Linked DNA regions of Rattus norvegicus. The protein of the gene in region 2 purifies or fractionates together with the protein of the main gene of each other region. This does not show direct contact. Links are inferred from orthologs where the notes say so. Each region holds a gene or a part of one and is shown on either strand. Other genes may lie near its edges.

The links. The genes of interacting proteins can lie anywhere in the genome.
Region 1: the proteins of Acin1 (region 2) and Sap18 fractionate together in Homo sapiens (co-fractionation; 7 studies listed by BioGRID and IntAct, with this or other methods). This does not show direct contact. The link is inferred for Rattus norvegicus from reciprocal best matches to the Homo sapiens genes ACIN1 and SAP18.

What each region holds. Positions count from the first base shown.
Region 1 is NC_086033.1:36,057,487-36,061,233, reverse strand, and holds the start of Sap18 (histone deacetylase complex subunit SAP18), read right to left. Parts: upstream 2,451-3,747; 5' UTR 2,448-2,450; coding exon 2,319-2,447; intron 2,191-2,318; coding exon 2,081-2,190; intron 1-2,080. UniProt on the Homo sapiens protein: Component of the SIN3-repressing complex. Enhances the ability of SIN3-HDAC1-mediated transcriptional repression. When tethered to the promoter, it can direct the formation of a repressive complex to core histone proteins.
Region 2 is NC_086033.1:32,114,255-32,118,001, forward strand, and holds the start of Acin1 (apoptotic chromatin condensation inducer in the nucleus), read right to left. Parts: upstream 2,751-3,747; 5' UTR 2,714-2,750; coding exon 2,402-2,713; intron 2,361-2,401; coding exon of another isoform or gene 1,966-2,360; intron 1,955-1,965; exon of another isoform or gene 1,816-1,954; intron 996-1,815; coding exon 930-995; intron 1-929. Other genes in the region: C15h14orf119 (uncharacterized protein C14orf119 homolog), read left to right, coding at 1,966-2,360.

The sequences.
Region 1 (3,747 bases), about 3.9 Mb from region 2:
ATGAACTCAAAACTAAATATAGGCCCTCGTGCTTATACAGCACAATCTAGAGCAAAGTAACTGAAAATGTAAACCTTTAGCCTAGTTCACGGTTACACTGGTGTTGCCAACAACAGGAGGTAAGTGGAATGCAAAGTATAAACCTGAAACAGTTCTGTGCCAAGCGCTGGGAAAAACAGTAGAACCTAGAAAGACACTTCAGAATGAGAACACTGATGGGACTGAACCAAGGAGAGAACCGCAGAGCCCACTGCATGTTTGCTGTGAACAGCGTATCTCCACGCCAGCCTACTCAGCACACGAGTGAAAATACCCAGGAGGACCTTTCAGATAGGTATTTCTCACTATCCCTGTGACAAAACGCAATCTCTCAGACACAGGAGCACTGAGTTCAACTCCAAGCACCAACATCGAAGCTCACGACCATTTGTAACTCCAGCTCCAGAGATCTGACACCCACTTCTGACCTCAGTAGACACCAGGCGTTTATATGTGCACACACATATGTATGAAAGTAAAACACCCATGTCCATAGACATAAAAATAAGTTAAAATTTGAAAGATATAATACCAAAACTGACACAAAAATATATAGTTCACAGTATGCATAGTTCAAGTAAAATCTTATTTTTTCAGAACTGTATGTAGTTCATTGTGGAACCAAATAAGTTGTAAAACTTCAGAGAAAAAGACAGTTACTTTCTTTTTTTTTTTTTTTTTTTGACAGTTACTTTCTTATGTAATTATGCAGCTAAATTTTACTTAGCCAGAATTCCTATTCTATTCCACAATTAACTCTCACGTTTTGCATTTTGCCCCTAGTGAATGTCAATGCTGGCATAAACTCTGGAGTGATATAATTCTGAGTTTCTTTTGAGGCAACTTTTAAAGTAAAGAAGCTTTTCTAGACTGGGTTGCCCTGGCAGAGGGCTGGCTCTCACAGGGAGAGTCCCAAGAGCAGATGCTGTAGGGTGTGGACAATAAACACTACAACAGTCTTTAAAGTAAAAAACTTTACCGTTCCAAGATTTTGACATCCATGTGGCTCTGGAACAATCTCTCCAAACAGATAACCCTCTCTGGAAAGCTGAGCTCACCTTATAGAAAAGCAGTTCTTGATATCATCGAGATGTAAGGAAAGTCCTGGCAAGCTGCAAAACTTATTTGTTGAGATACAGAGAATTGTAGTATTGAGAAAGTGGCTTACATCAGGCTGTTAAAAGTTCTCCCTTATAAATTCAACCACTAGCTCGTGTTTTGGGGCTGGGGTGGGGTTGTTTGTCTGTTTTCTGAGACAAGGACTCTTCGAGTCTGACTGGCCTCAAACTCAAGAGGTCCGCTTGCAATAGGAAATTACCGTTTGCTTAAAAGGTGCAGAGTTCCTGGTTGTGAAGTGTGTGAAAAGGTTTAAGAAGAAGACCTTCGAGGTTGGGGATTTAGCTCAGTGGTAGAGCACTTGCCTAGCAAGCGCAAGGCCCTGGGTTCGGTCCCCAGCTCCGAGAAAAAAAAAGAAAAAAGAAAACCTTCAAAAGTTTTAAGTGGCCAATTATGTGTTGTATATCTTACCACCGCAACAACAACAACAACAAAAATATATTAAAGTTAGCCTTTGCTGCTTTCCCAAAGCCATCAGTGTCAACCGGACACAATACGAAGGACAAGCGGGTAACGGTCCTAGCTGAGTGGGCAGCAAGGCAGGTACTCGGAGATAAAACACTTGGACAGCCGTTTTCACTGAGCACACACCAAACGCGTTTACACCGAGGGCCGGAGCAGAAAGGACTCGGGTGTGATGGTGCTTTTTAATATTTTGGTGCTACCAGACTTGAGGCTTCCTATTGCCTACGCTCCGAGAACATAATATACTCAACAGCCGACTCCCAGTCATCTACCATCTTCTCTGCCGCATTTTAAACTACGTATCATTCTGTACCAGGAGGCCACACGGTGAGAGCAAGACCGGTGAGTTCACTGTAACCTAACGTTTCACCCCACTCCTAAATGCGTTACACGGCGAGTAAGGCCGCCCTGTCAGTCCCTGAGGGCGCAGCCCGCAAGGCGCCGGGCCCGCGCGGCTCACCAGGTGTAGATCTGCAGCTCGCTCGAAGGCACGTTCCCGCGGGAGAACTCGTCCATTCGGTGGTGGCGGCCGTTGTTGGTGGTGAAGACCCGCAGCAGCAGCGGGCAGGTCTGGAAAGAAGCGGGGAGTCAGCCTCTGGCGCGCCATTTGGCCTTCCCGCCCACCCGTCCGCAGGCCGCGCCCGCCCGCCCGCCAGCCGGCCCGCCGCCTCTGCTCCGCAGCCGCCCGCGACCCGCACCTTCTCGCGGTCGATCGGCTTCTCCGGCTCCTTCTTAATTTCCTCCTGGGTAACGCGCGATTCCACCGCCATCTTCCTCCTTCGGCCCGGGAGACGCTCGCCCTGACCTCCGACCCCTGCGGCGAGCATGAGCTAGTCGTCTCTCGCGAGGAAAGGAGCGAGATTTTATAGCGGACGAGTGGCAGGGCGGGGCGTCGCTCGGCGCAAGCGCACTTTCTTATGTGTGTGGCCACACGCGCGCCGGCGCGTACGTGTTGCCCTGGGAGAGGGGCGGGACGGACGCATGCGCAATGGTCTACAGGCGTCTGTGGGGGGGGGGGAAACTTGTTTTGTTTTTTTTTTTTTTTTTCTTCTTTTTTTCGGAGCTGGGGACCGAACCCAGGGCCTTGCGCTTGCGCTAGCTAGGCAAGCGCTCTACCACTGAGCTAAATCCCCAACCCCAAGTCTTGTTTTCTTACACGTTCACTGTCCAAGTAAGCGTAACGTGACATTTTCATGCGTAATGATGAAAATGTGTAGCGAAGACGAAAAGCTTAAGAATATTCACACGACATGTAAAAATATGAACAAGGTAGTCATAGTGATGACAAACCGACTGGACTGATTTTATATGGACCGCTAAGGTAGACAGGTACTGCAAGGCCTGCAGCCAAATGATACCATTTCCGTAGGTGATGGGGTGAAACCATCTGTTTTGGGGCTGTGATGAACTGGGCTCTTTTTACGTAAAGCGAAATACAAGAGAAGCAAACCCAGTTGCGTGGTGGTACATTCCTTTAACCCCAGCATTCTGGAGGCAGGACAGGTGGATCTCTGTGAGTTCAAGGCCAACCTGGTCTACAGAGTGTCAGGACAGTCAGGGCTATGTAGAAAGAGCCTGTTTCAAGACAAAAACAAAACCTAAAAAAGTACTAGTGGGAAAGACTGATAGGAAAAAAAACAAAACAAAACAAAACCTTCACAATATGCTATAGAGAGTAAAACATTAACCCCACAGCTCCATTTTAAAGCAGTCGCTTTAAAAAAGAATCTAAACTAACAATACGCACATAATGTTCTGAATCTCACTACTGATCCATAGAGTTTGTTAAAGATCTGGTGACTGCTTTTAACAGATTGCTTTAAAAACAAGTCGGATGTAGCGTATGGACAAAAGATAGAACTGACGATAGTGGTTATAGGCCTTGACACTTCTGTGCTCTGGTGAGAAGGCAAGCTGAACACACACTTCGGATTCTCTAGGGTTATTTGATAGTCCTTACAATCCCTTCTTGCTGCTTAGACTCTAGAGACAATCTTTGCTAGGAGAATATTCAGAGGTGTCATGAGAATAGTCTTCACTTGCTATTCTTACAGAGGACCAGGTAACAGTTCTCTGCTTTTGTGGTATTTTGGTGAAGGATGTGGCTGCTTTTTGCCCTGTCTGAAG
Region 2 (3,747 bases):
CCCAGCAGAGCAGTTATAAAACCATGAACTAAGTCAAACTACTTTTCCTATTTCGGGTAAAGAAACAAAGGTCTCTAAGTGTTAAGTACCTTGTCCTAAGTCATCAAGGTTTTAAGGATGTTTAAGAGTTAGTCCTAGAAATAAGGGTTTATTAATACAGTATCAAATTCTTTAAAGTAAATTTGTACCAATAAAAGAGTTCTTGATGAAAAAGTATTTTGTTACATCTATATTCAAAGATCTATATTCAAAGATAACTTTCCCCTAAGCTGATGGCAAGTGACTTCAGATTCTTGTGGCACACTTAATCAGAGTGATACTTTTTTTTTTTTTTTGGTTCTTTTTTTCGGAGCTGGGGACCGAACCCAGGGCCTTGCGCTTCCTAGGCAAGCGCTCTACCACTGAGCTAAATCCCCAACCCCCAGAGTGATACTTTTGACACACTCCAAGAATTCAAAATTCATTCAGTGCTCCTTTGATTTTATTTATATATATATATTTTTTTCTTTTCTTTTTTTTAAAACTCCAGGTCTTTATGCAAAATTGAGGGTGATTAGAATTCAACTGTCTGAGGGCTGGAGAGATAGCTCAATGGTTAAGACACTGGCTGCGTTTATAGAGGACCCAGGTTCGATTCAGCACCCACATGGTGGCTCACAGCTGTCTGTAACTCCAGTTGCAGAGGATCTGACATTCTCTCCTGGCCTCTGTGGGCACCCGTTGGAGGCAAATCACCCACACACATAAAATAAAAACAGACCTTAAAAAAACAAAACAAAAACAAACAAAACAAAAACCCAGTAACTGAGATCACTTGCAATAAAAAAACAAGAAAATTCTGTTTCTGATAAACATGGAAGACACCAAGTCTTCCCATTTACCATTTTCTCCAAATAGCCCATTCTATCTAAACAAACCTTTTTTCTTACCTGAGAATTTGGCTGGAATGCAGCATGGGGTGTTGAGTGTTTTTGTAAATTTTCTAGCATTAGAGCCTGGTATAAAGAAGAGCAAAAATCAGAAACCAGGAGGGGGAACAAAAAAGCACTCCAGATCTCTACCTCTCCCACAGCCTTTTCACTAAATTACTTAAATATACATTTATACTACATTCCTTTCACAGAGCCTAAAAGCGCTTTATTAATATTGTTCTCATTCATCTTCATAAGTCGCTTAAAGGTAGCCATGGTTACTGCTCCCAAGTATACGGATGTAAAATACAGGCACACAAAGAATCAGTGACCTGGCTATGTCACAAAAAAATCAGCAAAAGTGGCAGAATCAGAACTAGAACCCCTGTTATTGTCTGTAATTTTGACTAGGAGCCACTTTTAAATCTGGTAATACAGGCAAAAAAAATTACAAGTACTCAAACAAGTTTCAAATTACATGAAACCAACACTAGGCTGCTAATTTAGATTTGACTATTATTTGATTTTCAGAACTAAAACTACTTAAATGAACCTGCACAATTTCCATCAGTGTTGACACCCAGACAAATCAAATGTACTAAAAACTTCACCGAGAAACTAACCACAGACCTTGTAACCTGTGGTCTGACCTAATCCACACCCACCCACAAACTGTCAGCTTCGGGATAAGCAACGGTCTGTCAACTCAAAGCCTGAACTGACCGAGTCCCTATCAGTATTATGAGCCACGTACCCTAATGAACTCAAATTACACTAGTCCTTCTCACCTTCCTTCCCTCCATTTACACCAAACCAATACACAGTATGTATACCTCACGACAACAAGCTCATTCTCACTGCTCAAACCGATACAAAATCCCCAGCCTAAAGTAATCTGTCTCACCTCTCGCACCAATATTCACCAAATTCTTATCCAGACTGTTTCTCGATTCCCTATAAATTAGACACCCGTCTCTGACAAGTCCTTCTATCAAGGTTTTCCTTCATCTAAGGTTTTAATCTAGTCAAGCGGACATTTTTTACCCTATCCAAAATGTACTACTGCAGACACAGACACCAACCCCATCCGCCCAACTGTATCCCTAACTCGGACACAGCCCTGCTCGCCCCCTTAAGGCCAGCCACACCGGTGGTTGTAGAGGGATTTAACTCCTTCTGCAGCGCATGCGCCGAAAACACAGACACAAACAAGGAGGGGGTGGGGGAAGAAGGAAGGAGCTTAAGACACTCCGGGAGAGTAGCGCGCACCCTCCCATTTTGGGCTCGCGCTGCTGCCGTTAAGGCGGGAACCGGCGTTATCTCTATTCCAGCGCCAGCCACACCAACCACCGTGCGCGTGGATCTGCAGGCTCGCGCTGGCGGCCTGAGAGAGCTCGCGCCGAGCCCGGACACTGCGCCTGCGCCGCAGCGGAGACTCGTCTCTACCAGGTCCGCTCCCCTCCGACACCTCGGCAACGCTGACTTCTCACCCCTTTGAGCCGCTTGACCAGGGCACTCTTCTGCCCGCTCTTGGCTAGGCCTCGCTGCTCCAGTGCGGCCTTCAGGTCGGTCACCCGCAGAGCCTGAAGAGGCTTCCCGTCCAGAGTCACCTCCTCCAGCTCCGCCATCTTGCGTGAGGTACTCGGGTCCGTCCCGACGGCTTCGGGCATCTTCGGTAATTTCCGCCAACGCCCTTCGAACGTACCGAACTGGCCCCGCCCACTGCCATAGTCTACCCCTCTATTACCGCTCAGAATTCCCCGGGTTCCTCCGGAACTGTTCGGTCGTTTCCGTCTCCACATCGGTACCAATCGGCTTTTTCCATCTGCCTAGCGGCCGGCTCCTCCCATTTTACTTTCAGGTTCGTTTGTTTTCGTCTTGCCGAGGCTTTGAATCGAATCTATTCGGAAGCCCTCGAATCTGGCATACCCATAATCGGAGATATTCGGCTATCTCCGGACTTGAGGGCTGAGGCGCTGGGGCACTTGGGTACTTGGGGCTGGTTCCGGACCGGAAGTGCGTGGGTTACTGGGGCTGGCTGTACTTAGGGTTTTCCGGAAACATGGAAGAGACTCGGGGAATTGGAGCAGGAGCTGAAGCACTCTTGTGATCTCTGGGCGCCCTCCAAGGGGAAAAGGGAGGTAAGAGGAAAAGAAATTTCTCCTAGGCCGGATAAGACTTGGTGTCTGAATGTTTTCTTTTGGGGAACCCTTCTGCTTCCTGGCGAAATCTCTGTGGTCCCCATCCTCTATATCCCAGCCACTCGGTCTAAGAAATGCTTTGTCCTGTGTGGCTAAGGAATAAGAGACCTGCTGCTTCCAAACGTGGGAAAAAGTAGCATTGTGTCTTTGATCTCAGACAGCAAATTTATTAATGACATCGAATTTAAGTTTACAGTGGAAGCCATGTAAATGTAAAAAAGCCTGGGTAAATAATTCCCTTTCTCTGAAAAAGAGAAGTTTTAGGAGAAACTTCTCCCTGTAGGGCCACTTTGAAACTGGCAGTCACCCTGAACCGGGACTTAGAACTGACGTTTAGGTATTCTTTTCTTCATGGATACAAATTTTCCAACTCGGAGAAGTAAGAACAGGTAGAAATTTAGGTCCTAGAGAGTTGAAGGTTTTCCTTGTTGGAGATACAAACTGTAGGACTAAAGTATTTTGGAATAAGTTGGCTGACACTTGCATCCATGATGCAAAATGAGTGGTACTTGTAGGCATAAAGCTTTAAGGAAAACTGTTGAGAGACACGTGTGCATCCGTATCACACTTTTTAGGTTACCTAAGTCAAGAAAGAAGCAAAAGGACTTTCTTCAGAACTTTAATAAAGTGGCTTC